2 linked regions of the Struthio camelus genome follow. The protein of the gene in region 2 interacts with the protein of the main gene of each other region in a pairwise test. Links are inferred from orthologs where the notes say so. Each region holds a gene or a part of one and is shown on either strand. Other genes may lie near its edges.

Evidence for each region.
Region 1: the proteins of MOCOS (region 2) and PARVA interact in binary tests that used the Homo sapiens proteins (3 or more experiments, as listed by UniProt). The two-hybrid records come from large-scale screens. The link is inferred for Struthio camelus from reciprocal best matches to the Homo sapiens genes MOCOS and PARVA.

Annotation. Positions count from the first base shown.
Region 1 is NC_090946.1:25,101,996-25,118,059, forward strand, and holds the start of PARVA (alpha-parvin), read left to right. Parts: upstream 1-8,588; 5' UTR 8,589-8,603; coding exon 8,604-8,744; intron 8,745-8,800; exon of another isoform or gene 8,801-8,970; coding exon 8,971-9,053; intron 9,054-9,082; exon of another isoform or gene 9,083-9,123; intron 9,124-9,343; exon of another isoform or gene 9,344-9,348; coding exon 9,349-9,560; intron 9,561-16,064. UniProt on the Homo sapiens protein: Plays a role in sarcomere organization and in smooth muscle cell contraction. Required for normal development of the embryonic cardiovascular system, and for normal septation of the heart outflow tract.
Region 2 is NC_090943.1:70,331,642-70,346,909, reverse strand, and holds the start of MOCOS (molybdenum cofactor sulfurase), read left to right. Parts: upstream 1-8,275; 5' UTR 8,276-8,365; coding exon 8,366-8,495; intron 8,496-15,268. UniProt on the Homo sapiens protein: Sulfurates the molybdenum cofactor. Sulfation of molybdenum is essential for xanthine dehydrogenase (XDH) and aldehyde oxidase (ADO) enzymes in which molybdenum cofactor is liganded by 1 oxygen and 1 sulfur atom in active form.

The sequences.
Region 1 (16,064 bases), on a different chromosome or scaffold from region 2:
AAAGTGAAATAGCAGCTCTGTTGTCCTGGAATTTTATTTTATTCCTGAGAATAGAGTTCCCTAGAAACATGATGACGTGATTTGGCATTTTTGCGATTGCATTATTTTCCATCCGTTTAGCTGAATCTGTATGTGATTTTGGTAATGTTTTGGCACAGCTGAGCCACAGTCAACTATTTAAAGGCAATAAAGCAAGAATCTCACACAAAAATAGGTTAGTTTTTATTTCTGGTGGAGGAAGGATCTTTTGAATAATTACATATATTATAAGTAATCATTATAACTACTGTAAATGCAATGTCAGAAATTAGGTTTTTCTAGACATTTGTAAGTTTTAGTGCACTGTATATTTTTGAACAAGAATTTAATGCAATATTAAATCCCTACATGTTGGAAAATGGTAAGAGAATATCAAAGAGGTGACTCCCCTTAAAAGACTGTTAAAAGCTCAGAAAAGCTCTCTGTATGTTACAGATTAAGGTCGTCCCTAAAATATACCGAATAATGTTTTAAAAATAGCAATCCAGAACTGATTAGTATTTATAGGGTATGCTTTACAGTTGGCATGCTTGGTAAAATGCATCACAGATAGTATCGTAGGGTACCATGAGTGGTGTAGCAGTTAGAGACTGCTCCAAGAGACAATAATTGCACAAAAGCATGGCTGAAAATGCTGAATTTTGTAATGCCAGCACTGACAGAAAATGTTGTGGTTATATTTAAACTATATTTATATTGCTGCTCAAGAGGAATGTACACTTATATTTTTCAGAATTATTGTATTTTGATTTTTTTTAACTTAAAGGAAATATCTCATCTCTTTGTACATGCATTTATAGCCTTTGGCATAGCAGATGTGCAAAACTTCTCCTTACTATTCCGCATATTTTAAGTGCTTTCTTAAATCTGAGATAATTCTGCAATTTAAGATTGGTAGCGTTCCCAACTGAATGTATGATCCACTACATTTTCAAACTTTAAAAAAAAAAAAGAGAGAGAGAGAGAGAGAGAAGACTGCTTCTTTTTGACTATTATTTTACCTCATGCTCTGACTGAGAAGATTTTTTTGTTCTCACTACTTCCTGAATGGTGCTTATTTGCTACAGCTGCCTGTGGTACAGCCAAAGTTGGAAGCATTCTTCTTACAAAAGCTTTAAGCTTAAACCTCTTGGTGACTACTTGTAGGGTGGCATACACACTGGATCCTATCACAGTAGTTTATGAATTATCTTAAGTTTCTGATGTATTGTAATAAATTTAAAATATATTTTTAAAGATAAAAACAAAATTTTACTATTGTCCACAGATAAAAAAAAATATATATACCTCTTGGTGAAAGGAAGATACTGTTGTTCTGCAATATTTATGTTTTTATATCTATTTATTAGACTGTCTAAAGGGAATAAGTGTCTGGTTATATTTTATACTTTGGGTGTTGTTTCTGGTTTTGATAAACAAAAATGTATTTCTAGCAGGTATGTATAGGTGAAGCTGTGCCTTGTAGAGTAGATAGTTTTATCAATCTGGTAAGTAATTGGGAACAAAAATATAAATTGAGGTTTAAACAACATTCTCAGTTACTATAAACCTGAAGGAATACCCTTATGGCATAGCATGTAGGGCTTTAACAATGTGATTTGTCTTTTTTTCACAGTGGAAAGATACAGCAGAATCCCAGAATGGGTTCCAGAATTATCCTCTGCCATGTTTTTCTGTCATTCCTATGCAGATCATACGTGATTGTTAGATTACGTTTTTACAGAGATGGATTGCAGTGACTGATTTTTAAATTAGCTCTGTTACTTAAGATTGACACAAAGTAGGAACAGACAGGACAGCAATACACATTTTCATTTTCTCTCTTTTGAAATCTGCTGGCATTTCTAGTGTTGTGAAGAAATTCTCTGGATTTTATCGCTGTACCCAGAAGCCTCATGTAATCCAGTAAAATAATACTGACTAGCATATCTGTCATTCTGCTGTAGAAAATGGAGAGCCATAATGCTTTCAAGATCATTTTTTAAATTTGTGAGTCAAACTCTTTTTCGTAGTGCTTTGGACAGCAGGGGAAGTCAGCACAGCCACCTCCAGCTATATCAGCAAAGGTTGTTTTTTTCAGTCAGTTTTTCAATTAAAAAAATCCCTTTGTTTTAGTCGATGTTGCTGGCCTCCGAAGAGGAGGAAGGGCGACGCGAGGACATGGCACATCACATGCGTTGTGTGGGCACATGGCACGACTGAGGGTGCATAAGCCTGACATTTCAGTTTCCTGCAGATGCCTGCTCTGCTGTAAAACCAGGCGACAGACAGGTGTGAACAGACTCTTTCATTTTAGCTCCAAGGATTTCGGTCCCTGAGAGTATTAAAGGCAACAGCAGTTGAAGGCCATCACCATCTTATGGACCCCCAGAAGAGTCTCTGTTTTAAAAGTTACTTTCTTGTATGATATGTGGTAGTAATACACGCCGTACCCAAAACTGCAGGTCTCCTGTGTGTGTCTGTAGGCTCTTGGGTGGAAAGTCCTGCGTAGCTACTGTTGCCCCGCCTGACACTAATGTGCTCACAAGATTCAGTCCAAAAATGAAGAGTGCAGGTGACTTAGGAGAAGAATAAGCTCTAGGTAATTTAAAGTAGATCTTTGTACATTATGAGAGTAGGCGAGGAGGGGAAAAAGAAAGAGAAGCTATGTACACTGTTCACAGCTCAATTTAATATGGCTGGCTTACGTTAGAAATGCATTTAAACAAATATGTTTGGTTATGAGTGTTCTTGCTGTTCAATCTTTTCTGTAAATTGACTCACTTACTTATAAGGAATTTGTTGATTTTTAAATCTTTGTCACTATTTTTAAATCCTTGGCACTGTTATCACAAGTATAATATGATGTGCTACAACATATTGGCTGTATCTAACCTGACTAGATGTGAGCAGTTTTATATTTGAAGAAATAAAATTGTATCTCACTCTCTAAAGTCCCTGAGTCATTTCTGTAATAATTTCTTACCTCCAGTATCTACAGAGGAATAATGCATGTCTAGGAAAGACCTATAGGTAAGAAATTATATCATTTTCCTAATCATATACTGGTAAGTAAATTGCACTATCTTACCTGGCACTTCATATCTTAGAAATAATGGCACTCTGCTGCTAGACAGTGTTCAACTTGACCTTTAACAAGAAAATGCAAACCCCATGAGATCAACAACTTCCTTTAATTTCTGACATGGTAATTCATCACCTAATTTCCTTAGACATTACATACAAACTGACAACTCCTTGAGCTGAAGGAAAAAGGCCACTGCGCAGATCAAGAATTGGTGAGCAAAACCTTAATTGCTGATTTTCATATTCCACCAACTTTACTTCTATTAGGCTATCTCTTAATCTGTTGTTTTCTACCAGTGGGACAGACTCGCAGAGGAAGACAACGTTACTGCCTCAGAAGAGATAAGCAAGATTTGGGCTTACGTTAGCCCCTGCGCCATTGTCCCCTTAGCAGCAATTCCAAATTGATCGATGCTTCCCTCCTCTTCAGATGACAGGTGGATGGCAGCTGCTCTTCAAAGGTCCAGGTAATTTCTGTCACATCTGAGCTGAGCTTTGTCTTCTACTGTCATGTCCTTGTCCTTCTTACCAGGTGGGCATGGTAGTGGTTCTGCTGATAATCTACTCATAAATCCTCAAGACTGCAGAGGAATCACCCACCTGCATGGCAATTGGAAGTAATAAGTCAAACTTTTAAACGCGTACGCGTATAAAACTTTGCAGCCCTGCTGACTGCTCAGCCAGCTGGTTGGCAGCCGGGGAGCTTGGCCGGCCCAGGAGCACAATAGGGGTAGAAATCTGCCTATTGGAATTTACTGAGGCTCCCCTATTATTCACTCTCTCTGACCCCCTCCAAAAGATTATGGCTCTAGAGAAAGGCAGTTGGGCAAGATGTTGAAGAAAAAGACTTTGTAAGCCATCACATGCCTTGAGATCAGTTGATTTGTCCCCAAGGTAAGAGAATGCCTCATTGATTTTAAGGGTATTTGGCTAGATTTCTCTGGGCACAGGCAACAAACGTAACAGACTTATGTCTTGCAACCACTATTTTCAAACCTAATGCAGGGAGCATATCTGATTTCAACTGAATTTGATTTTAGTTTAGCAGTTTCCTTCCAAAAAGATATACTCTGGTTTTTTTCCTGCTTAAGTATGTAACAGGATGTGGCTTAGCAGATTGGAGATTCTGTCTGTCTTTTAAGACCTTGCTACTGTTAAGATCTAAAGCTGTCTGCTGAATTTTGGAGGGACCACACAGTTATTTGCATAGTATGGCATGATGGGTTTACCATGTTAGTATGTGAATACTATCCCTACAGTCTTCATGGCAGTCATGGTATCTCCAAAACCTGGAACCTGACAAATACCTTGTGATGAGTAATGTATTCACTGGATTTCACCTAAATCTGTTTGTCTAGTATTTATGAACAACTTGTCTTTTTTCCGCATGGTTTCTTCTGCTGATTCTAATGAACTATGGCAAGAGATTTCATGTGCCAGCTAGGTGTTTGCTGGTATAGTCACATAGTACAGATGTACAAAGCTACAGACAAGAGAAGGGCATTTCTTGTGAATACAAAAGCTTATTAATAAAAAATCATGAGCCTAATTTTTCTGAAACTGTCTCAACAAGTCCAGAGGTAAATTCATGTAAACCTGGCCTAGTACGTATAAACAACTGATTGGCAGAATTACATATTACCAGAAGCATTAAGTGCCAGGATAATGTTCTTATCTCATTGAAAAATTTCAAAACCAATTTCCTTCCATTGAAACTTTCCAAATAATTGATCTCTATGTGTGATCTGTGTATACACTATGCTGTCTTTTGTCTTGCACCTACAGTGTTCTTTACTAAGTCTATGTTTGACCTTTTGGGGTCCTTAATGTGCAATATAGAAATATATTGTACGTTTGAAGGATCTAGTTGGAGATATTCCAATACTTCTATGAAACTCTATATTAATGAATAATATATTTATTATTCATTATCCTATTTATTTTTTTTAATAGAAGATTCTTAACCCAAAGAAGATACAGGTTAATTAGAAAGCATAGCTCAATTTTAAATTTAAGCATAAGCATAGGTTCAATCTAAGACTCACTTTGTGAGCTGGAAACAAACTTATCTTCAAGTGTGAGTTTGAGATGGTGGTGGCTGTGAAAATTTGGAGTCCTGCTACCTGATAGCAGTGCTTTCTGCCGTTATAACGTAGCCCCCACTGGGATGATTAGTCAACCCTGGGCTGGCCTTTTAGGGGCTGAAATCATATGCAACAAGGTCCTATGGGCTACATAACCTGCCTTGAGTTGGTATGGGACAGGAGATGTGGCTGCGCAGACTACCAGCCAGGCAATATGTTGTGCTGTGGTCCACTCCCAGCACCGCCTCTCCCAGCACAGTACCAGAGGTGGCCACCGCACGCAGCCATGTGAAGAGGAGTGGGGGGGGGGGGAAGGGAAGGGGGCTTCATGGTGAAATACAAAACCACTTTCTTGAAGTACAAGCCTGAAGTTCTTGCCTCTCAACTTCCAGGGGTGCCACCAGGACAGGCTGCAAGGCGTTAGTTCCCTGGAGGGGAACAGGCACCTAGCATGTCTGGTTCATGGATACAGCCAGGTCCTGTGAGAGCTGTTCCCTCCAGAGATTTTTGGGTGCTCTCAGGAAAAGCCATCCCAGAGACGCCGTGGTGTTGTCTTTCAGTGGGATGCAGGTGAGAGGTAATATTGCTCAGCCACCCTGTGAAACACAGACAACTGCTCCCTGGGAGGACAGGGGTGGCTGGTGCTCCTGTATCTGACAGGCACAAGAAAGCAGAGGAAAGTTTATGGCATTGCACTGGGAGAATGTGAGTTGCCAGCACTGTAAAAGAGAGTTTTTGGGAGGAGCCAAAGGAAGGAGCCTTCATACTTGCCTCAATTGCTTGTTATTGTTGAGCTTCTGGCTGAGATATGTGGAAGAAAGGAGAAGCTTACCAAAGCTCTTATTTACCAGTGTCCTAAATTTTAACAGCCTCTCTTTGAATCCCAATCAAAAAATAGACACTAAACAGCCACAAAGTAGCCTGTGAGGAAATGTCAATGTCGTCTTCTCTAAGAACCATCCTTTACTGTGCTGTTAACACACAGCCTGGGGAGTAGGGATGTGAATGTTCAGCAGTTCACTACATAGAATTGGCACATGAGAAGATGGTTGACTGCAAACATTTAGAAAAATATAAAGAGTAGACTTTGGTCTAATTCTGTTCTTTATGAAGTCAGTGAAGAGTCTTACTGTAGGCAAATACTGCAATAGCAGTAGAGCAATAGAGTATTTTTGAAAATTCCACTGTTATTGTTTAAAAGACCACAGAGTCAAAAGGCTAGAGCAGAAGTGTACTTAAGAGAAAAATGTCGAACTCCAGATCAAGAAGAATCGATAATTTATTGCATGGCCTTAACTAGCTTGGCTTAAACTTGTGTAATAACAGAAGAAATACTTTGAAAACCAGATATGACATCAGGGCTGACCTCTCTCCCCTGAGTCAGCTATCTCAGATTATGAGTATACTTTCAGCTGCTGCAGTGCTCATTTTTATTAGCCTAGACCATGGCTGGTATATTATGTATTCTGTCTCTTCCACCTCATGCAGGAAGTAATATTCTATCTGTGATCACTCTGAGTTCTGTAGTAAAAGAAATAGAAAACAGGTGTGCATGGACAGATATGAAGGTGAGTAAGAATGCATTTGAAGTCTGTGGATTTAGCCTCCTTTTATTGCCTGGCAAAAGTATGTATGTGATCAGGATACAATTAATTTGAACTACTGGTTGGATCATCTGTAGGAACAAGGCGCTGACAGGAAGCACGGTGAGAGCTCTTGATCGCCTGCTCCAGATTTCTATATGCTGGATGCAGTGAGGTGAGCCTGAATGGCAACCTACTGACTATTGTGTCTGGTGCATGGGATCATGGAGCATGATCATGAAAGTATTCACTTATTAAATGTAAAACAGAGCAAAAACCTAGACAAACAAAAATCTCCACCGAATCTATATTACTACAGCTTTTATTTGTGGTTAAAATATTATAGAAATAGGAACTAGGCATTCAAAAGCAACATTTGTACATCTGCCATAATTTAGACCTTGTGTGTACTTATATGGCGTTTTGTGCTGAATGCAATATTAATTTAAGCTCATATGTGCATATATATTTCCAGATCAAAAGAAAAAAGTAGCATATGTAGTTGGAAATTTAAGATACAAGGCGGGGAGAAGGAGTGTTGTAACTATCTTCAGAGAGCATCATCATAAGTTGGAAAAACCCTGCAATAATGTTATACCTAAGAGAACTGCAAATAAATTCAGAAAGAAGCCCCTAAAGAACACAACAAACTTAAGTCTGTTGCAGTGACCCCTTAGCATTATTACTCAAGGCATTACAGTATTTCTGTTCCCAAATCAGATTAAGTTATTTTAAATGCACATTGAGTTTCCTTTAAAATATATTTTCTGCTTGTGATGTTAAATCCTTACCTATAGCTCATGAGGCTATTAAATAAGGAATATTACATTTGATATCTAATTTACATATGCTAGGTATAAAAAAGTATGGAACAAAACTGAGTAGAGATACTAGGACTTGTAAGTTATTTGGTGTGTGACTTGGCAAATGCATGCTGAGTTCTGATTTTCCCATGCTGTATAACCCAGCGCACATTACTGTCTGAAATATCTGATTTGTTCTTTTTGCCTTTAATACCAAACTTAGTGGCACAAAGGCAAGCAGATTTGTGTGCCCACAAAATCCTACTCTGCTGTGCCCACAAAATCCTACATGGACGTCTGTGTGTAGTATTTGGGTCCAAAGTTGTGTCATTGCTGTTTATAAATGCTGCAGATTCACATGTGTGTATATAGAAAGGACTCTACATGATTATTTTGCTTTCTTTTAAAATTATATTTCATTGTTTTTAAAAAAATTGTTCAGAATTGTTTGTATCCTAATCTATACAGCGCATGAACAGCAATTCTTAACAAAACAGAGTAATGTGTGAAGGTGGGGAGATTCTGCAGACAAAATCCAAACGCGCAATCAGTGCTAGAAGCCAGAGAGAGCAAACCTAAGGAAACGTGAGAGTCTCTTAACGGCTTGTGTTGATTCCTGGTTTTAAGTAATGGTGGTAGGGGTGAATGAAATTATTCTCTAGGGCATATACTAACTGCATACAACAAATACTCATTGGTGTCTATCCCTCATCAGATAACCATTGTTACTGGCTTGTAAAAACAACAATTATTAGCTGATTTAGAAATATCCTCATGGTAATTTCATTTCTCTTATTATGTCTAATGGATAGCTAGATATTTGCATAAAGTGTGTGTGGCTTTTTGCCTAAATTGTTAATCGAGTGATTAAGAGGGGAGTGAAGTAGTACATCCAGATGACATTAATGCTGTTCCAGCCCTAGATGTCTCCTGAACCAGTCACAGCCAATTACCTGTTTTAAACATACTTTTCTCTTAAGCAGCTCACCTGCAAATCAACAGAGGATTGGCACAGGCAATAATTTATCATGCTCACTAACCTTTCTTTCACATTCTTTTTAATAAAGGTCTTTTTTGGCAGAAAGGGGGAACGCGATGCCCACCTCCAACGACAGAGGTACAGGGGCAGAAAGACAGCCCGCTTCCCAAAATTGGCTCAAGGCTGGAGTGTACGTGGCAACCCGCGCGGGGACCTGCCCAAAGCTCTTCAGTGGCACTTCACTGCTCGATTAGTCGGAGGACAAACCGCGGGCCGCCGAGCTGGTGGGGGCCAGCCAAGGCCGCGGCGGGGGCGGGGGTGACCACCTCGCCTGAACGAGGCGATGTTTCAGCGTGCGGCAGGAGGGCGGGTGAGGAGGGTGTCGCTTCCCCCTGACAGAAAAACCCTTCTTCCAGCGCCTTGAGGCAGCCGGGACCCCCCGTCAGCCGCAACGAGGAACCGCCGCCCGGGCTGAAAGCCCCGAGCGGAGCAGGCTGGGGTGAGGGCGGGCTGCGGGGCCTGGGGGGGGGGGGGCGGGAGCCGCTGGCCTGGGAGACCGTTGGGCTGAGGTGGGGGGAAGGGGGACCACAGGGCTGTCGGGGGACTGGGGGGGGCGTTGGGCTGTGGGGGGGCACGGAGGGAACGGGCGCGGGCCGGGCGAGGGCAGCGCGGCCCTCCCCGGCGGGCGGGCGGGCGGGCGGGCGGGAGGGAGGGAGGGAAGGAGAGGGAGAGCGGGAGAGCGGAGCAGGAGCTGCCTCAAATGCCTGAAATAATTCCGCTTCCGTTTAGAGCAGGGGCCAGCCTCTCGCTCCGCCTGGGCTCCAAACCTGTCTCCCTTCATCCCTGAGCGGCGGCGGTGCTGGGACCGCCATGGCAACCTCCCCTCAGAAGTCCCCGTCGTCTCCTAAATCCCCCACCCCTAAATCGCCCCCGTCTAGAAAGAAAGATGACTCCTTCCTGGGCAAACTTGGCGGCACGCTGGCAAGGAGGAAAAAAGCCAAAGAAGGTAAAAAAAAAAATTTACAGGTTTGCACGCTTCCTGGGAGTTACCTTAAAATGGGGGGTGGGAGGAGGAGGAGGAGGAGACTGGGGGGGGAGAGGAAAAGGCTCTGGGGAGCGGGAGGAAGGGGCTGACTTGGGACGGACGTGTCGGGTGGGCAGGCGAGCAGCGAGGGAGGAGCGCGCCGCCTTGCCCCCGGCTTCTCCCCGGCCGCCCTGCGGGGCCCGGGCCGCCGCCGCCGCCGCCGCCCTGCCCGCGCCTCACGGCGGGGAAACGCGGGGCCCGAGCGGGCCCGGCCGCGCGCCGCCCCTCCCCCCGCCGCCCCGCCCGCCAACCGCCGCCACCGCCAACCGCCGCCACCGCCAACCGCCGCGCGCGGGCCGCGGGGTGCGGCGCGGCGGCCTGAGCGGTGCCCTGCGGGCAGGGCGGGCGGCGCCGGGCCCGGGGGTGCGCCCTAGGACGGGGCGTGAGCCGGGCAGGGGTCTGGGTGCCGGGATGTGTGCTGGGAGCGCAAGGCGGGTGCCGCCACAGAGAGGCAGCGCCTCAAAAGCCGGTGTGATACCCCCGGCGGAGGTGCCCTGCGCCTCGCTGCATCCGGGCGAGGAGAGGTCCCCTGGGCTGCGTCGGCGTGTGCACCCCACGGTGCCTGCTTGAGATTACCTACTTTTTTAAGCTGTAGTGCTAAAAAGAAGGAAAAAAAAAGTGAGGCTAAAGATGCTTATGTCTGCTTTGGTTTGCAGTGTATCGACTTATAGTGGTGTACAGCATGCTCTCAACGCATTGCTCTGAGAGAATGATGTGATTATGTTCACTCCTTAAAGGTTTAAATTTTAACCCAGTTGTTCCTAGACTGAGCTGAAAACCTTTGCCTCGTGATAGTAATCCTTTGAAGAAGATTGAGCGTGTACAAAGGTCTCTTTCTTTGTCCGTACATGTGAATTAATATCCAGGCCCTACTGAATCTGCCTATTTAAAATCCCATGAGACAGAGAATTGGAATTTAACCTCACTCACCCGTCATTTTGCAACTGATGATGCAAGCGGAGCTAGAATAGCGTCCGCTTCAGAACAGTTTTTCAATTAATGTTTGTCATTCTTAAGCAAGAAAAAAAGAGTTATGCTCAACAGACCCTGATTTCTGATATATATGTGGAGAGTGAAATTTGGCAAAGTATTTCAGAATAGTGCTAATGCCATGGACAAGGACGATAACACTTTACTTTGAAGAGTGAGCCCCTCGCTGTAGCCATCACCTGTATTTCTGAGATGCATAGTCTTGCTTTTCTATTAAAATACGTTACGCAATTGTGCTGATGTTATTCAAGCTTCTGTTCATTGCAGTTGGCCCAGAAGTTTATGAAACAGTGAATAGTGGCAAACTTTACTAGGGATCCACTTCCTTATGCCATTTCTGTAAGAGTATCGATGAACTCTAGTAGCAATGCACTAGAAACAATCTTCTGTGATGTGTCTGTATTGTAGTTATGTTTTGAGACTTTTAACTTAACCTATTTGTAGTAGATTTAGCATGTCCAGTGTTGCTATCAGACAATACTACTTTTATCAGTGCCACAGTGTTATGTCATAAATCTACAGGTATCTGTCAGAGACAGCACGGTTACTTTTATTCACAATCTTGTAATCTTATTTAAAAAAATGTGTTCCATGAAATCATAGTTTTTGTCTTTATTTCTGTGTCTCTATTAAATTTATTAAAATCTACACCTGCTATTTCATTGTCTCATCAAGTTAATATTTACCCTTTTAACATTTTGGAACAACATTGATGATGTGCTTTGTGTTTCCCAATTTCCTAAAGCTTTTTAAAAAATCACAGTGGTTTGGATTTTTTTTTTTTAAAACTTTGTGAGAATATTGTAGTATTTCATGATGGAGACAAAATGTTTCATTAATTTCTCCATAGCATCTTTCTTGGAAAGATCTTGGAAGACTCTAATGATACATTCAAGAATGTATCTTTTATTTACTTATCTTTTTTTTTTTTTTTTCATTGGAAGCACGTGAGACTGACATGTACTGGTATGGCTTTATACTAGTGAGAATGATTTTATTTTATTTTATTTTTAAATAGCAGATTCAAATGGTAATGACTTTTAAAGCCAATACGTTTTTACAGTGAACCCTTTCTTCTTCATGCCTCCTAATCTCTCCTACAAATAAATACGGGTCTGCACACTATTCATGAGCCACGTTATTTCTTGCAGGCTGTGATGCATATGGCTTCCATCTTATGTTGTACTGTCAGAGTTTGTAGGACTCAGGCATATTTGAAATTAAACTACAGCCTTCATATAGGAGATCAGATTGCTTGTGGGTCTAGCCTCTGTTCTTTGATTTTCCTGCTTTAAAGACCTTTCTAACGTCAAGGTTATAACAGAGAAATGTCTCAGTTATAGGAGTGTACATGATCGTTCAACTGTTAACACATATAAAATATTAGAAAAAGTTCAAGGGATTATTCATAGGGATTTGAAAAAATGTTTTTTTTCTGTTGGCCATATTTAGACCTTCAGCTTTTGTAACTTAGAATGAGGTACTCTTGGATGGCACCTTTTCTCTTCACATTTTTTTTCCATAGCATCTCGACCTGTTCGCTAACCTAGTTAGTCTGCTATGGATATCTACCTCATTTTGAATGTGAACATTGATCTCTAGTTATTTAAGGTCCCTAAATACTATAAATTGTTAATAACTTTTTAGAAATAATGGTATTTTTGCTATGTAGGTTATTTATTTCTCCTTCTTATCTACCTAGCCTTGTGCTTTGTGATTTTAGTATGCTAGTAGAGTAAATTCACCTACTGTGTTTCAGCTATGTCAGTATTTCTTCATCAGTCAACAACTCTGCTTATTCCAGTTTATTGCTGTTATTAATGCATAGGCAATAGAACAAGTCTTGTTCTGTTAGTCTTGCTTTGTGATTTTAGTATGCTATAGTAGAGTAAATCTGCATAATAGATTTCAGCTGCGTCAGTATTTCTTCATGAGTCAAAAATTCTGCTTATTGCAGTTTATTATTATCTTTAATGTATAGGCAACGGAACAAGTATTCCTCTTCTAGATGAATGTAGACGATGCAGAGGATGCCTCTGTCATCCTGATCTCCTGATCAACGGGTTTATGGGCCTGGCTGGTGCGTGCTATGGCTTTTTTCCAACCTGCATGCCTTCAGGGACAACAAAGGGGCTGTTGCAGCCACTCTGTTTCAGTCCTGCATTAAGCCAGACCACGTTCAGGTTACATACCTGGAAACAAAAGCTCAGAAGCACACCTGGGTCTTAGAGATTAGCTGTTGCTCAAGAAAGTCATTGAGGCTTGTGCTCTTGAGAGAAATAAGGGGTAACTGAAAATTTCCTTTCTTCTAGTTGATATAAGCTCTGCTATTACATAGAGGACAGAAACTTACTGGTTTTCTTTGGCCTTTTATCATATGGTGTAAAAGTTAATGTTTCTAAATAATGCAAAAATGTTTTATCTGTTGTAGGGAACATACTAATTACATTTTAATACTATTTATTTATGTATCTAGATAACTGTTGTAGAAGTATATAATTGTATGTATTAGGTTTTGTATTTTTGCCATCAACAGACATTGTTAACTGTCAAAACAATATTTTTATACATCACAATAATAGAGCCAGTGCCAGAATGCTCTACCAAATACAAAGCCATTAGGATCTGAAGTGATAATAGTACAGTCATGCAAGCTATTTATAAAATCTGTGTAGTTTTACATGTAGCAAAAGTGGCTTACAGTGCAATATAAAACGGATTTTTGGTAATACCTTTCATTTTCATATAGCAAGTCCTTCCTTACGAATTTCACAGTTCCTGGCAGTGGTGATTATTCCACCCGTGTTATAGATGAGAATATCGAGCAATGTAGAAGTGAAGTGAATTCTCTAATAACGCAGTACGAGTTGTTGGCAGAGCAGAGAATACACACCCTACCACAGCAGAGAAAAGGCTGATCATCTATTGTATATCTATTATATATTATATGATAATTATTGTACTCTATACCAGGACAGAACAAAGAGAATAACTTGAGATTCTGTTAGTTGAGATACCGCTCATGATGTAAGTAGGGATTAGTCATGCCTTAGGATGTATGTTAATTTGCAAAATAAGTTGTCATTAACTATTAGAGAATATTTATGAAATATAAAATCTGGGAGTGAGGAAGGCAAAGCTGCTTGGGTCATCTTCTGTCACACAGGGCTGTGGCCTGGATTTTATTTACAGTATCTCATCTTCATTGGTGTAATTCAAGGGTAAGAGCATCATACTTTAGTCTTTCCTGAGAGGGCATGAACAACTGCAACTTTAAATAGTGTATACATTTTGTTAAAGGAACAAAAACTACAAATGATTAACTATGTTTAAATTTACTATAATTACCTTTTTAATGCAACAAAAAATACTGAGATAATACTAGAATATTTGATGACCTGTTTACAAGTGAAGCAACTATAAGCAAGAATTAGCTTATAGTAAGATTCTGTCCCTTTCATTCTTGAGAAGTGTTCAAAAATTAAGCCACCCCATATATGCCTTTGAAGGATTCCAGTCTTCGTCTATCAGGAGGTAAGAGCCATAGTGAAGCTAATTTTACTAGCCAAAGCCAACCACAAGTTAAAAAAAAAAAAAAAAAAGTATAAGCTCCTCATAGTACTTTGTATTGTGTACTAAGCATATCTTTATACAAGTGCAAGGAGAGAACAGAATGACCTCTTTTTTGGGGGTGGGGTTGTATATTATATTATCTTATGAATTTTTCATGGTGGGTTCATTAAGGTCATATGTGATTGCCCTCCTTGAATTTTCCTGGCCTGGCAATTATAGACATACAAATTTAGCTCCTCATAATAGCTTACCTTAGTAGAGAATCTTAAGAATTGGAACCTGACGCTCTAATAAATCTGTGACACATTCAGAAACAGAGAGCGAAGTTCAGAATTGCTTAAATTGCGTAGGAGCAGATGGAAAACAGACAGCTTGGACCTGTGAATTGGGTAGAGAGCAATTACTGCCCATTGTATGGGCTTGGTCAGTTTTCCGATTGATATGACATCAATTTCAGTAATTTGACTGCTCTTCTTCCTAGCTTATTTGGTGTTGATGGGCAAGAGAAGGAATGAATTTTCTTCTAGCTTCCGCTTATATGATATTTCTTCTTTATCCTTCATATGTTTTGGTTTTATTTCATTTCAGTATGTGAGGTCACAGTAGGCTGTGTTTCTGTGTGTGCCTGAGGGAAAATTACGATGTTAACAGCATAAAATATTTTAGATTTGCTATTTCTTGATATTTCCCTTCAATTTCTTAGTCTCCATTTGCTACCATAGCACATTTCTAACAATAATATAAAAATCGGAACAACTACAAATTAAAAATAAGCGTAGGGTGATGAGAGCTCTTCAGCTATTTTAAATAAAAATTTTTGTCTTTAAGGAATCAGTGACTAAAATGCCTTGTTGTGAGACTCTCTGAAAGAGAAGTCATACCTTGATCTGGCTTATGTATGTGCATTGTACTGTGAAAGAAATGTATTTGTTAGTATACAAGGAGCATTCTGCTGAATTTTGAGATTTTTGAATTATTTTCTTTGGACCTGTTTCTGCAACTTCTCTTTAAGCAGAGTAGTGCACTATAGATACAAAGGGCTGTTTTTTGTAACAGTAGGACTTATCTTTTGCTCATCATCTGTTTGTTTCTCATGTGAGAGATCCTAGACTAACTTAAATGCTTTGCAGGTTTTTTCTTTACTATTGCTACCTGATGCTGTATTTAAAATGCAAATGAAGTTGAAAGAAGAACTGCTGTGTCTTACCTATGCATATTAGCAAATATGTTGGTAATAACATATAGTATGAAGAAAATCAATGGGCCCGCGTGTGCAGATTTCATAGCAATGCTTCAAAGATGCATGTAGCATTTTCTATGAAGAAGAAATGGGTTGAGGTAGGTTTTGCCATCACTCTTATATAAATCAGTAGTTCTGAATTTTCATTTTTACTGCAGCATATCAGTGCATCAACCCTAGGCCTTCTTGTGCTATTAGAATAGCTGAATGGTTGTTTTTGATGACTGACATAATGTGCTTTATCTCCAGGCTTAATGTGTAGCAGCTGAAATGTGCTTATACTCTTCTTTCCCCTGTAAACTGTGTTACATATTCCCATGTTCTTGGTGTGCTGCCACAGGCATCATAGCTGCCTGTTTAACTGATGGTGGACAAAAGCTATTAGTACCACCTTGGAATAATTATTGCCTTGGAGCAAGTTGTGTAAAGTAGATAAAATACTTCTGTTAGGTGGAAGGAACATGGAAAGTGAAAAAAATAGTAGAGGGAAGAATCATCTGCGTCGTTTGTTGTCATTTAATTATTACAAGCCTTTCTGAGCGCATCTACAGTGTATGGAAGGAAAAGAAAGTACTAAAGAGAAGAGCACTGCGGTTTTGTTTCCCTCCTTTGAACCCAGATTG
Region 2 (15,268 bases):
TCTCCCAATTCCTTTTTTACCTAGTAGATCGTTTCTAGGTGCGTGCCATCCTGGTCCCTGGTCGGTGTATCGCGTCTGACTTACCGATCGTTGCTGATGGCGTACATATAGTACATACGTATTGCCACGCGTGGGAAGAGACTGGTAACCCGATGTTTCTAAAGCCACGAGCGGTAGCTGTGGTGCCTTTCAGAACTGAGGGCAGAAAAATTTCAGGTGGTTGAGATTCCATCAAAGGAAGAGAGAGTTAAAATGTTTGTTTTTGTTTGCAACTGCACAGCAGTTTAGCAGAAATCACTTTGGGAAAGGCCCAAATTAAAAACAGCAGCGATAATCATTTCATTAAAGCTTTTAGTGCCAAATCAGAGGTAATCTCTTTTTATGATTTGTTTCCAGCGTTTTCAGCAAAAAAATTAACAGTTAGAGCTGATGTCAAAGTGTCTGTGTAGACAGAGTGAGTATTTTTATTCTAGTGAATTGTCTGCTATAACTTGGAATCTCTCTGCAAGCACAGAGAGGAATGTCAAAACTAAGTAAAAACAGGAATATTTTAGGTTAACAAAACTGATCTTGGTTTTCTCCTCTGCTCATTTACACTTCAGAGAGCAAGGGTCAAGATGTCTTCAATGTGAAAACTTTTGTGTTCAAAACATACGTTTCTATGTGGAACATTTTGCATGTGGAAAATATCTCATACAAATCACTTTTCACAAAACCTCAGAGTGCTACCAGAACTGGCAACATTAAAGCCAACAGCATCGAATATATTTTAATTCCGTGTTTGTAGAGAGATGTCAAATATACCATCTAACATAGACGCAGTGAGTAGCTTAAAAATAATTTAAAAACGGGAGGAATGTTTTGAAAATAATGAAGATCAACTGGTAACAGTAGCTCATCACATAGTTGTTTCACATGGTTTTTCCTTGGTGCAAAAGATTTTGAACCGTTCAAGCTGAACAATCGAACGGTGATGGAAAACCTTTAAGAATGGAAAGCGGTTTGAGAAACATTATTGCGTGTTTAGGCACATATTTAAGTTTATGAAGCTATTTCAAAGAAACAGGGAATTTAATTTTTGACAAGCGAAGAGGTGAGAGTGTTTTTTAGCAGCATGTAGTGACATAGGTATAAATTGTAAGCTCCATGGTTATGAACAACCATACCAGTACCTGAATGTGTTGTATCCATCATGCCGTACAGAAATCTTTGCATTTTTGTGTGTGATATATGAAATATTTGGGGTTTTGTAACTGTAGAAAGCTGTTTGCCATTTAAAGTCAGTATAGCTAAGCCTCAACCGGCAAGATTACGACTCTTCAATCCGTTTTAATAATTCAGCGTGAAATATCTTTGTGACATTCGTAGCCCAAATATGCTGTCAGAGATAGAAAGTGTTTATATGTTCTGGGTGTGTTATATTAAAACTAGAAAGCTTTAGCGTGCTGCATGCATTTACAAATTATCCTCCCAGTGGATGTCCCATGGTATGAAATCTATGTTTTTGAAACTAGCCTTTGCTACTTCATTCATGTTGATTTTTTTTTCTTGGTGCGCAGCGCTGATTTGCAGCTACTGTCTCGTGATAAACTACCACGTCTGGATGGGCAGACAGGTGGTGAAACCTGCCTCCCAAACCATCCTCAGTTCTGGGCTCTTTACGGGTGTGAGGTTCTGTGAGGTTGGGTTTGGTCCCTCTGGTTAAAATAACTTTTGTTTTTGTGTTTACTTCCATAATTACCTCACGTCTGCTTCCGGTGGCCTCATCTAATTCTCAGGGTGACAAGGGGTGCAAAAAAATGTTTTTTTTCCACAGAAATCTGCTTTAGCCATTAGGCCGCCAGCTTGGAATGACTTAATGAGAGCCGGGCTAACGACTGTTTGTCAAACGTGTGTGTGTGTGTGTGTGTGTGTCATATTTGCAATACAATCAGCCTCTTGAAAGCGAAGGCTTATGTGATCAAGTCTTCCTTTGAACTTCTGGCTTCTAGTTTGCAACACAAAGCTTTGTCATGCCGTTGCAATGAATCATTTTAATAACTGTTAAACCCTTTGAACATAAAGTTTTATAGCAACACTTGCAGGAATTAAATACTTTTGCTAAGTCTTGGTGCTTACGGCCTAAACCAGATGCTGTCAGGTGCTCGCGGCCTCCTCAGTTAGCATGGGGAAGAGGGTTTGGCTTGGAGCAGGGGCCGATTGCGTCAAATACTGAACAAATGCTTTGAGTAATAGTAGAAGAAGAGGGTTTCTGTCCTAGAGTTTACAGCTGAAAAGCGCAGGCCTGAAAAGGAGGGTGGAAATGGGCTAGACCACACCAGTAGTGCAAGCGAGGGATTCCTTTCCAGTCTCGTGATAGCTGTGTGTGGGGGGTTGTTTTTTTGTTTGTTTGTTTTTTGGAGCTATGTAGGTCTGCCATTGGCAGGAGAGGATTAGCCAAACTTGAAGACAAGTAGAAGAGAAGGTGTGCTGGAAATGGATGAGCAGGGGAGATGGTAGCACACCCTGCACGAAGCTACGAAGCAACTGCGAGTATTGGTGCGAGCAGGGAGGGTGGAGAGGGCACGGGGCAGGCCACCCGGTCCCGCAGGGGCTGCTAGGCTGGTGCAGGGCTGGTTTGGTCAGAGCAGTGTTTCTGCCCAGACCGCCTTGCTGCTCTCCCAGCTGCGGACTTTGCTCAATCTGCTGATCTGGGTTTGCCTGGAAATCGTGCCCACCTCAGGAGAAGGGGGAATGAAGCAACATGTTTCTCCTGCTAATAAGTTCTTTAGGAGCAAATTCCGTGTCTCGCTGCAGCTAATGGCAACACTCCTGCCAGCTTGCTTCAGAGCAGTGCTCAGGCCTTCGACTGCTGAAACACTTTCTGCTGTTAAAATCGATCACCTGTGGCCCCAACACTGTATTTTCCTGCTTGCTGCTACTATGACGGGAGCATGATTGCTGAGGGGTTGTCTGTGCAAAAGGTTATTATTATTTTTTTTCCGTTATGAGTGGAAGACTGCCACAGACCAACGGTCTAAAGATTTCATAATCAGCAGCCCTAATTCTGAGGCGGAAGATGACCATTTTTATTATTACAGCCAATAATCCATGCGCACGTGAGACCGTCGGCTGTCCGTGAAACAATAACTCAGGTTTTTCCTTGTGTGCAATTACATTTCTCTCTCTCTTTGATTTTCTTTCGTTTTTTAGCCGGCTACCGCACAGGGATAAACCAGAAGTTGGAATCTTGACTTCAGCCCTGCGGGCTCTGTCAGCTTTTTATACCTGGCAGGCTCAAAGGGCTATGTGCGAAATGGATTTCTCATAGTTAATTATAAACATAGAGTGGATTAGATAAATTAGGTTTCCTTATAGTCAATAAATAAGTGTTTACAGTCAGTAAACTGCTGTGTTAGTTTCTGACATAACCCATTTTTCAGTTGGTTAACTGGTCGGAGACTGAGCAGTGTGCACACGCATCAGGATGTCCCCGTAATGGGCAAAATAATCTTTATTGGATTGTTTCAGGACACAATATGAGAAAGAATACAGCAGGCTGATGATTGTGTTTGTGCATAATGGATGGATGAGAGAGGTTACGTGACATCCAAGTGTGCTGCGAGTGTGAACGGGGCTGTCAGAAGCTTGTAATGTCTGTCTTAAAACATAACCGCAAAGGAGGTGTCTGCGCTGAGCTCTGTGCAATGGTTAAATGACTGTGGCGTTCATTTCCACTAGTGCTTTTGGTGTGAGTGGAGGGAAGAAGCAGAATCTGGCTTTCGGCAGGTTTTAAAAAAAAGAAAAAACTTCCCCAGAGCAAAACCTCTCCATCCCAAGATCTTTCTCGCAGTGTTTGTTTATACGGCGTTACGTTGGTTCTTAGTATTTTGTATGCTTTGTGTTAGGTAATTCCCAGCCGCTTACACATTTAACAGAACGACCTGTCGTGGCTATAAGCTCCCATTCAAAATTTTTTGTTAATTTGTACTGAAGACTGCTACACGGAAGGGATAATCTCTTCTGTTTACACAGCAGACAGCTCTGGCAGGGACAGAGCACGAGCTGCTGGCTTTCTGCAGCATTCGCCTGGGTATTTTGTACTAGTGTTACCAGTAAAGCCCTGTCGAAGGGGGAGGCTGGAAGATGAGTCACGGGACAGTCTCGCAGTGGTGAAGTCAGCAAGGTGTGACAGCGTTCAGGACTGGAAGTGTATGACGGTTGCATTTAATGTGATGTGCTGTGTTTTTGTATAGTAGCGTCAATTGCTGTCGTCATTGTAAAGCACGCGGGCCGGTTCCTAGAGACCCGTGGCATGACGGAGAGTAACCCCAAATAAGTGGGGCGGGGGGGTTGGACTAGATGACCTCTAGAGGTCCCTTCCAACCTCAGCTATTCCATGACGCTGTTTCTTAAATTCTTTCAGCAGCATGAATGATCTATTGCTTGGTCTAGTAAGCCAGAGAGGTGGGGGTCTTTCTTTTCTCTTTTCTCAGGAAGGTGAGGTTGCATTTCCTGCATATTTGTAGTGGTGGAGACCCTGCGTGTATACAGCGCTATTCAGTTGGTTTGTACACAGGTAGGACATATTTTAAAAATGCAGTCACCAAAAAAGGGGTTGGAAGGGACAGAAAAAGGTTGTGTAATCCATGCTCCTGTTACAAGACAATTTTTTCTTGTTTGCGAAATTATGTGGGAGCTGATGCTCATGCTTAAATTTTAATTATTTGGAAATACTTGGCTGGCCATTGCAATGTGCCATCACAGAGTGGCAAAGGTTGGAAGGGACCCCCTCCAGTCTGACCTCCTGTGCAAAGCATGTCCCAGTGGAGCAGGTGGCATCCAGGCGAGTTTTGAATCTCTCTGAGGACGGAGACTCTAGAGCCTCCCTGGGCAACCTGGGAGGTTTGACCACCCTCACGGAAAATGGTTTTTACTTGCTCCTAGTTGGCACTTCCCTGTCGATTGTCTCTCGTCCTTCCACTGAACGCCCCCCATCTTCTCCACACCTTACCATCAGGTAGCTATATTACGGTGACAGTTTATTATTTGCAGCTTGAAATTTGGAGCCAGTAAAGAACCAACAAATACTGCAGTCCCACTGTTTTTCCATAAAGCTGCAACAGGGCAGTGCAACCCCTTTAGAGAGAGAGAAGCGTATAGTGTTTTTGAATCTGAATTGTTTGCGAAACGTTTGTTTGGAGGCTGTTTCTTCTTGCTTCTTATGGTGCTTGAACGGTTGCTGGGGGGCAGCGGGAAAGCATTGTCACAGTGCACAGAAGGGATTTAAAAAAAAAAATCCTTTTGCTTATTCTGTAATGTTTTCCAGAGAAAGGCAGTATTGCACGTTAACATTTACGAAGCAAGAAACTTACTCACTAGACTACCCGGAGGCTTTATTTCGCTCTGCTAAAACTTGGGAAGAGCAAGTTAAATTGCTCTGTTTCTGCTTCTGAGCCTTCATTAAGGAAAGAGCCTGAAAAAATGCAGGGCTGGGGGGAAAAGGGGGATATGCGCGCAGTCTGCGTATCCGGTAGGTGTGTATAGCGGTCCTTTTGATAACGGCCTTTTGTCGTTTTACAGCTTTGTGAACGTGACTCTCTAGGCAATACCTGCTTACCAAAGTATATAGTTTAGTTAATGTGCTTACGCAGAGTGATCCCCTGGTCTCCTCTGCTAGCCAGAGAGGAGGAGAAGTTACTCTGTAACCATGAATCTGCAATGTGCAGATCAAGAAAAACCAACTCATGTTTTCGTGGGGAAATTCGTGCAGTCTCTAGCCTTTGCCTCAGAAATGGAGCGCGCAGTAGGATCAAATTAGAATTTTTATGAGTTATGCTAATTTTCAAACGCAAAGATTTCTAAATTGATATAGAGGGAGTTTAATGCCTCTTGTTAGTTAGGAAAGTTTATTCTGGCCTCTATGATGGATGAAGATGAATGAAGCCCTGCACTAGAAACTGGTAGTTCCCCAGAGATCAGTAGCTGTGACCAGATTACACTGAACATGTAACGCAGTTCGCAGTTAGTACTAGCTCTATATGTGTGGTGCCTTCAAGGGGCTAATCTTCCAAAACGGAGAAAAAAGTGTGATGGAAATTGATTGAGAGGAAATATTTTCTTAATAGAAATTAGAGTTCCTTGAAATGAATTTATTACACGATCGGAAAGCTGCATTCTGCAGTCAAGAAAAGGGATAGTTGGCGGGGGAAACTAATCTTGGTTTAATAACAACAATTTGAAATAAACAATAAATGAAAATGGTGATGGAACTATACATAGCAATCAGTATAAATAAATTACTTCAGAAATTGATAACGAGAAACTAGAAATATGAGGGAAAAATCCCTGGAAGGTCTTTTCAACATACATTTGCAATAACAAGCCATAGTGATGGCACAGGGCCTTCTAAATTGCGATGCATAAACTAGTAAAATAAAAAAGATATTTGGTATTTACCAAAAACAGCAAAAAAAAAGTGATGTGCCTAGGGATCAGCTAAAAACGTTCCTCCACTTGATGGCAAACTGTCCTCTTTTTTCTATAGAGGAGTCTTGTTTACCTGGAAGAAAATGAGTAAGGAATGGTTAATGGCTTTGGGGAGGTCATTGGCTAGGCCCAAAATGTATTTTGGGTGTGTGCCACGTCTACTAAACGTATCTCGCAGAAGTGCTAGGGAAAAGAGGCCTGGCTCTCCTCCTCCTTGTGGGCCGAAGGAAATTGTCTGGGATTCCCGTTTCCAGCCAGGGTCCTTTGGTAATCCTGAGCGCGCGACGTTCGCACACAAGACCGTAGCACTGGTTGAGCATTGCACTGAAAGTCGTCTTGAGTAATGTGGTATCAGCTCCTTTCAAGTGAAGTTTATGACAAAGTTAAGGTGTATGTACTTAGTTATTCGTCTCGGGGAGGAGCGGTTACATCCCAAGTGGCATTTATGGGCTGGGATGCAAACTTATGGGTGGATATGCTGGCACAAGTTACTGCGATGCGCAGACAGTGTGGAACCGTTCCTGAAGTAGTTTCAGAAAGTAATTTGTAGCTTTTTTAATAGTAGTATACTCAAATTTTCCACGGGAAAAACTTGAAAATGCCCCTTGCTCCAAAGACCATTTTCAGGCATGTTGCAACCCTTGCTATTTCCTGAATACACTCAGTTTTTTAAACTGTTAATTACACTGAAAAAAGCCATATTTGGATTCCTGCATTTCCCCTCTCCTCTTTTTCTTTTCCTCCTACATTTGGCCCCATCAAAAGAAATGACAAAAGGTCTTAATTATTGTTCTGAATGTATTTTAAAACTCAGCCTTGCATGAATGGCAGGGTAAATAAAATTTTCATGTGGTACATGCTAGTTGTTATGGGGGCAATATTTTAAATGGGAACATGTTTACATTACTTTGATACATCACATCAAAGTGAAATAGTAGATGATATAGATGGTATGAGGATGTTCTTGCTTTTCTTTTGCTTTTGGCCTCGGGGTGGTGGGGGGGGGGGGGGGGAGTGCAAGCAAACTGTTGTGAGACGCAGTAGTGGTGCTGTCAAGGCCAGTCCTGCAGAAAGGGACAAAGTCTGGGAATGGGACACAGAGCGCTGCCTGCCTGCTGCAGTCCTGAACGTAGGCAGAGTCAGAGATAAAAAACCCCATATTTTTATGGTGTTAGAGAAGCGTTCCTCAGCGCCTCCTAGCCAGGGCCCTGTTCTTAAAAGGGGGCAAAATCTCCCAATATGCCAGGTGTATTTCAGAATGTTTTACGTGGATTTTATTCAGTATCTCTTTATAAGTGAAAATCTTTGCGGTTCAGTTTGGGCTGAAGTTTGTCCTCGGCAGTTTGACGCTCCATTGCTAGCCAAACGGGTAAGATTTCTGAAACACCTGACCCAAGAGCCTGTCCTGTGCAACACGTAGAGTTTTATTTTATCGTTACAGTGGGAGCCCTTTACCTCTCTGCAGATGGAAGTGTATATTGCCGGGAGGCCAGTAGAAAAAGCCATTGTCAAATAGTATAATCTGTCAGGAGGAAAACCTTTTCTTTCGTTTTTGAAAAAAATCACTTCCATTGACTATGATTCCCCCCCTCCCCGCTTCTGTGTGTCGCTGTATGCGGATATTTTATGCTCTAAGCCAGAAGCTTTTCTGCGGACGGCTGCAGCCGGCCGGTCCCCGGGCCGGGCCGGGCTCCCCGCTCCGCGCCGCCGGCGCTCGGGCTCGTCCTGGCGCTGCCGGAAGCGCCGGGCCAGGCGGCGCCGCCCGCCCCCTCCTGCCTCCCTCCCTCCCTCCCTGGGCCGGGCGGAGCGGCGGCGCCGTCAGGAAAAAAGTGTTTTGTTTTGGTTTTTTTTTTTGGTCTTGCTTTACTTTGTATTTATTTCCTCCAGTTCCGGCGGCATGGCCGGGGAGCCGTGGGCCGAGCTGCTGTCCTTCCCGGCCTCCCAGGCCATGTGCCCCGCCGGCTGCGGCTGCGGCTACGGCGGCGGCCTGCGCCGCCTGCGGGAGCGCGAGTTCCCCCGGCTCCGAGGTACCGCGGCCGGGCCGGGCCGGGGAGGGGGCGCGGGGCGCACGCGGACCTCGCTGCGCGGCACCTGCCGCCGGGTCTCCGCGCAGAGAGTTTCGAGGGAGGAGTTGTTGCTCCCTTTTGGCGTTTCTTTGAATCACCGTGGAAGGCTGGAAGAGCGGCTTTGCTCTCACGCAGGTGTTGCGAATAAGAAATGAAATCAGGTGTTGCCTCGAGAAACAAGCAAGCAAACAAAAAGGACTGTGGGAACCGCATTTCGAACAGGCTTTTGATGAGTTTTTCTTTCGGTGCTATTAAGATTCTACAACTTGATTTTGAAGCCTGATATTAGTCATGCTAGCTGGGCCAGTGAAAGTCTGATAGCAAGGAGCTGTTTGTGATAAATTGAGACCGTGATTCTGGCAAAACTGAAACATTGTTTAGACACTTAAACAGATGGCTTATCAAACCCCTTGAAAAGGGGACGTGTTTCTCAGGAGGCTGGCCGGTTTGGAAATGCAGCATGTCTCGTGAATTCTGCCCGGATTGATCCATCCGGGGCTCCCGAGTGGGGGTCACTGCAATGGCAGAGCATCAGCAGTTGACCTCCGTTTGAGAAACCTTTGGGTAATGTTGGCTACTGAGTTACACTTCAGTCAGGTAACTTATTACAGTGAGCCATGGGTGGCAGATAATTTGGAATATTTCCAGAAAAAAACAAACATGGGATATAGAATAGAATTTGTCATAGCATAAGCTGATTGAAATCATGTGCTAGCCAGGGCAAGGTCACCTCGGTTGCATATTTCTTCTACCCATTGTTTTCTTTTAGAGAACAACTTTAGACTTTTACCACTTTATCCAACTCATAAATAGTCTTACTTATGTTTTAAAAGCTCCAAGTCCCCTCTGTGTGGAAGATCAGCATCCTTAATTGATCGCTATACGCCCTCTCTGGGATTCCTGCCCTAAGAACAGGAGTGGCTAGTTCAAGAGCTTGTATCTGTAGGTACGTCTGTAGTGCCAATGCCAGGGACAGATCCCTGAGCCCAGGGGGTAAGGCCAGGTTCCCCCTGCCTCATATGTTTATCTCTGGGTTTACTAGTTGGACCAGTTTAGAAGAGAGTCCAGGGCCTGGCTGACAGCAGGGCAGCGTGGATCACCAGCCCAGTGCTTGGACTTATTCTTTGGCCTTCTTTTCTGTAGCGGCGTAGCTATGTTCCTGCTGGCTGGAGGTCTCCACATGGCGACGTGGATGTTCTGTAAGGGATTTTGAAGCTCTAGGTCTCTATTGCCTTTCTGAAAAATGGTGAAGGGAAGGTGATTGATGTCCAGGATAACAGCAGCCACGGTGGGTAAAGGAGCCTTCTCCAAGTGGCATACAAGAAACTAGTAGGGCTTCCAAGTGTTTATCCACCTCAGCACTTTCAGTGACCCCCCTCCCAGGACATCCGTGTTGGGGGGTGAAGTAGGGGATTTGCACCTTTGGTCCACTCAGGTCAGCTGTATCATTAAGTCCTGCTTGTACAAACACTGATTTTTTTCCAAAGGAAGCAGTAGCTAATTCATGGGGTTTATCTCTGCTGGGTGTCTCCCTACTAAACAAGATGTCTCAATTTAATCCCTTATAGTAAAGTGTTCTTTAAATAGTCACACCAGGCAAAAGAGACAATGAGCTCTATTTTTACGTGGTTAACAACAGTAGTGTCATGCCCAATCAGTTATACTTGGAACATGCCTTTCTGTCACTAAAGATGCATACAAATCGAGATTTTGCTGCTGACTTTGCGTGTGAACAGAACGTGTGGAGTCCCTCTGCAGATACTCACGAAATAAGCCTAACGTTCTGTTTTGGAAGCGTTATTTTCCTAAGAGCAGCGTGCGATGATGATATTTTTGGCGTGTCGGTGTATTCAGTTCTTGTCGGTTGCTGGTATTTGGTTGTATCCACCAGGGACCTCTGTGCCAGTAAACTGGGCCCTCTGAGGAAGGAGGAGAGCATTTCTGCATCACAAACCTCTGACCGTATGGTGCTATACCACTGCTCTAGTATGAGCAGTTTTGCATGTGTCTATTGAGAAGGAGGTATAATTTGTGTGTGTGTGTGTGTGTAGGGAGAGAATATCGGCTGCTGGCCATAGTATAAATCCAGGATTTTAACAACGGTGTCTTGTCAGTGTCTGTGGGAGTTTCACCCTTGGCTCCAGCAGAAGGAAATTAGGCTCATCGCGAGTGCGTGGGGATTCCCTTTCAGAGGCTGTGAAGGGATAAGAACTACTGTACTTCCTTGAATCAGCAGGAGTCTGTCGGTGTTGATATAGACGCGTTAAACTCTCCCTTTTAAGCCAGAGTTTATCTTCGTTTTTGTAATTGAAGGGCTGTTAGCTGAGGGCTTCAGCAGTCCCTTCCACAAATATATGTGGAGTCGGTGAAACTGATCCCTGTTTTACAGGCAGCAGTGCATGCACAATATGTGACCTTGACTTTAATCTTGTGGACAACATACCCTTATCTCCAGCGTAGGATTGTAAATTACTCTTCAGAAATGGGTAAAGAAATCAGCAGGAGTTTATAGGTTCTGTTGTTAAGTAATGGGAATGAATATGCCTCTGTGATTTTTATGATAGCAAAGAAAATATCAGCTACGGTTTGTATCACGTTTTTATAAAGGAAAGAGCTGACGTGTGGTTTGTGCTGCAGCATTTGATCCCAAAATACCTTTCCCGTTTTGGATGTGTTCCTGTATTTTTGTCTTAGGTAACTGGGTTCATTTCAGTGGGAGTTTTCCAAGAGTGATGAGCAAAGGATAACCCCCCCAAATAGAAAACAGTACATATTATTGATCACATATTCTTGAAGGGCTGCTGATTATCTGAAGATAGTCTTTATTTAAGACGAAATGCACTGTCACATGTTTAATGCAAAACCGGTAAAAGTACATTCAGTAGTAATCATGTGACAGATCACATGTCACCATGAGTAGAAGTATGAGTTTGTAATATGTGTGATTGTATAAAACTGCTACTAATAATGCAACTTGCCTGTTTAAGAACAAAAAAACCAAAGAACCCCCTAAGCTTTGAGTAATAGAATTGGCCCTCATTTCCTTGATATTCAACTAATGTCCCATGAACTGGTCACCTATACATGAGCTTATTCTACTGTTCAGTTAAGAAATAGTTGGGTATTTGATCTGACTGTAAACAAAATTTTTTTTTTATGTTCCTGGTAATTATTTGCACTGAGACTTTGCCTCTAAGAATGAGAATGGCATAAGCAGTTCTCGGTGCATTGCAGTTGCTTCTCAGTGGATCTGCTAGCAGAGGTCATTAGAGAAGCAGTGTCAGCTCTCTCCCCTGAGACCAGAAAAGCATATCTGTTTTGTCACAAGTTTTGGATAATCCAATGTTTTTGCTGTATTTGAGAAGTAAGAAATGCACTCTAGTGTGTCAGTTCAGAGTAATTTTGTAGACAGCCAATGCTGTCGTTTTATGAAGCTTGTGAAGATGAGTGTACTGTGAGTCTGAAAAGTTGCTCTCACCTATTGATTGCAAACGTAGGTGTGACCTCAGTTTCTTTACTGGTATGGCAGTCTGGTTACCTTGTCAAACCAGAAATTCTACTGGGCTACTGTTTGGGGTGTTTTCTGGATTGTTTGTTTGTTTGTTTTTTTAATTCTTAGGAAAAATTTTTGTAGCCTTCTGATCACTACTTTTTTTTTTTCCTTTTTAATAACTACAGAGTTTTTTTTTTTTTTAAACAAAGACCTTTTGGTTATTTGATTTGGGAGCTGTCTTCTGCTACCTGTGTTTATGTTAGTTTCTGCTGATTTGCTGATTATTCATATGTTTTCCTGTGGATGAATCTGTCCTTTCTAATCTCTTAATTTCTTGGCAAAGACTAAGTGACTGTTGGCTAATCAGTAATAACTTCTGTTTTTAATTTCTTGGAGCATGAATTAGCAGTAGTCAAGTTTCAACATGTGGTTTAAAAACTGGTTTGATAATGATAATGTTTATTTTGACTCACTGTTTTCTAAGCTCTATGCTGAACCAGAAGCAAAGCATGTGGCAATTTATGATCCCATGCAATACTTGATTGTGAGTTCCTTGGAGCCCAGCCACCCACCCCTGGCCACACAGTGACAGTCCTGGGAAAGACGCTGCCTCCTTGTAAGGTAAAATGGTTTCACCTGTTTGCTGAAATCAGCAAACAAAATCTAGTGCTTACCTCTCTTGTCCAAAGGCAGCTGAAACAGTGTGTAGAGGGAAAGATGAGGCCGCGTTTTTGCCCCACCAGGAGTCTCTGGATAACTGAAAGAGCTGCTAATTGTGCTGGAGAGTAAGTCTCACGAGTGACTTCACCTCTAGCTCGTCTTGAACAGAGGAAAAAATATTCTAAACCTCGCATTCTGACGTTTAAATGAAAAAGCTTAAAAATCCAGACTTCGAAATGAAAACTTTCACTAGGCTCTTTTGTCAATAAATATCAGTTACATGCACTTATGGTCCTCTGATTCACACTTAGGAGTCTTCAATTCCCTTTGAAAAAAGAAAAACTGAAAAACAAGTATTCCATGAAATATGACAACAGTTGAACTTTGAGTTTGCTTCTATTTGTTTGCCTTACAACTTGGAGGCTTTTGTCAGTGGACTGGCTTTGCCAAGTGCTATACATATGACGCACAAAAAAGATGTGCCCCGTGCACAGGACAGGGCAGTAGAGAGGACAGAGGTTGCTTCCCTCGGGCGCTTATGTTACCTAACCAACTTTTCTCATTTCTTGGTAGAGTCTGGGAGGACTCTCCACGCTGTTGGTCGTGGGAGCTGCGAGAGACAGGCTGTGGCAGGACTAGGTCAACTTCTTCCACAGTGCTCTGCTCCTGAGCAAGGAAGAGAAATAGCAGATTTCATTTGAGCTGCATTAGTTGGAGCGCAAATATGCAGGATCCCTGTCTTTGGCTAGATTGCAAGTGGACAAGTTCAGCCCAAGCAGTGATATAATGTAGTGAAAATGTACGATTTTAGCAGTGTGGACTTGGAATTGCTGCACTCTGTGCAGGTGGTAAACCAGGAGTGAGCTATAGCAATTATCCGAAATGCATGCTAGTATAGCCTTTATATCCCCTTGTTCTGTCTTGTAGTGTATGTAAGCCATATGCGTTATAGGGGAGAAAAAATAACACTCCTTTATAAAACACACTTTTAGGGGAAGAAATTCTTTCACTTCTCTGTAAAGCTAGTTTTCATAGTTTAGGATTCAGAAGGAGAGGAAGATTATAGCAGATATACTTTTAGGCGTATGGAGTATTTTTATCAATACGTAAGAAAACATCATCACTTTGAAAATGCTTCAGAATGAACTAGCTAGAGAAGGAGAGTAGAAGCAACTGTGATACCTGCTACTGAAAAGCTGAGAGCTCCTTCCCACCTCTACGCAAGGTTTGTTGTTCTCTTCTCAGTGGCTGGGAGATCTCTGGCTCTTCACCTGCTATTGTCCTTATTGTCCTGGACTGGGTATCTCTGTAGCTCCTGTGTCACAGGGTAGCTACATTTCATGAAACTTTTTTTTTTTTTTGGGGGGGGGGCGGGGAAGGCGGGAAGAGGAAAGAGAAGAAAGCAAGAAAAACTGTTTATGGGAGGCAGCTGCTGTTTGGCAGTTTGAAACACCAGAAGACTTCCAAGGAAGATGGATTTAGTGGGTGGAGAGTGTCCTAAATAGAAGCTGTGATTATGGGTAGTGTAATTGCACAGCTACGTGATAATTGTGTTGTAAACACCAATACATGTGTTCTGGTAAAGTCTTCATGCTTCCTGTTGGTTTTGATACAGCAGTAGTTATCTACATATGCCATTGTCGGAAGAATCGGTATTAAAGAGGAACCATATGTGGAATATAAAGTGGATTTAGTATGAAATGTCTTAACTTTTACTATTTCAGTTTCAGATGTTTTTCTCTCTTTCTCCAGCTATATAGACATACTAGATATAGGCTTAATAGATATTATTGGGGAATTTCTTACCTTACGTATCAGGATTCAAAAGATTATCAGTGGTCTGCTTTGTGTAGAATTGATTTTTAACTTGACTACCTGATGCTGGGTGGTCTTTTGCTCTTTGTGATGGGCATAGCTCTTAGTAAATAGTAGTTAATAATATTAACTCATTGTAATATTTTGGCACTGAAGGAATTTTTAGTTACTTGAGAGGAAAAAAGACCCTCAGAGATACAGGTGTCTTCTGTTTCTTGAACTGGATTACACAGAATAGTATGTACAATTCAGTTTTAACTTCAGATTTGGTGTTGTAATACCACAGAATCACAGAATACCAATATAATACCAATATAAAGGTGTTCACTGCACCATTACACTGGCTTTGTAATTGCATGTGCCACATAGTACTAGGCTTTTAAAATTCCAAACCCTGTCTAGAATATAGTCATCTGGAGGAAAAAAGCGGATAAACTACCAAACTCTATAAATCTGATACAGTTGACATGAACTCAGAGTTTTCAAGGGTATTTTAGAAATACATAGTTGATCAGTTGGGACTAGATTCTTTCCAAAAAGAAGTAAACCTATACAGACATGAGACATTTACATCTCTATATAGAGATTAAAAAAAAATTAGATTTGGAAAGATATTTTATGGACTACTGTGGATGTTACAGGGTATCAGACATTCATTAAAAAATAATTACATTTTTAATTAAAAGATGCCTTATCTCTAAAAGTAACTTTTGTAAAGATGTGTATTAGTGTGTATGAAAGTATTGAAACAGGGAGATGTTTTATT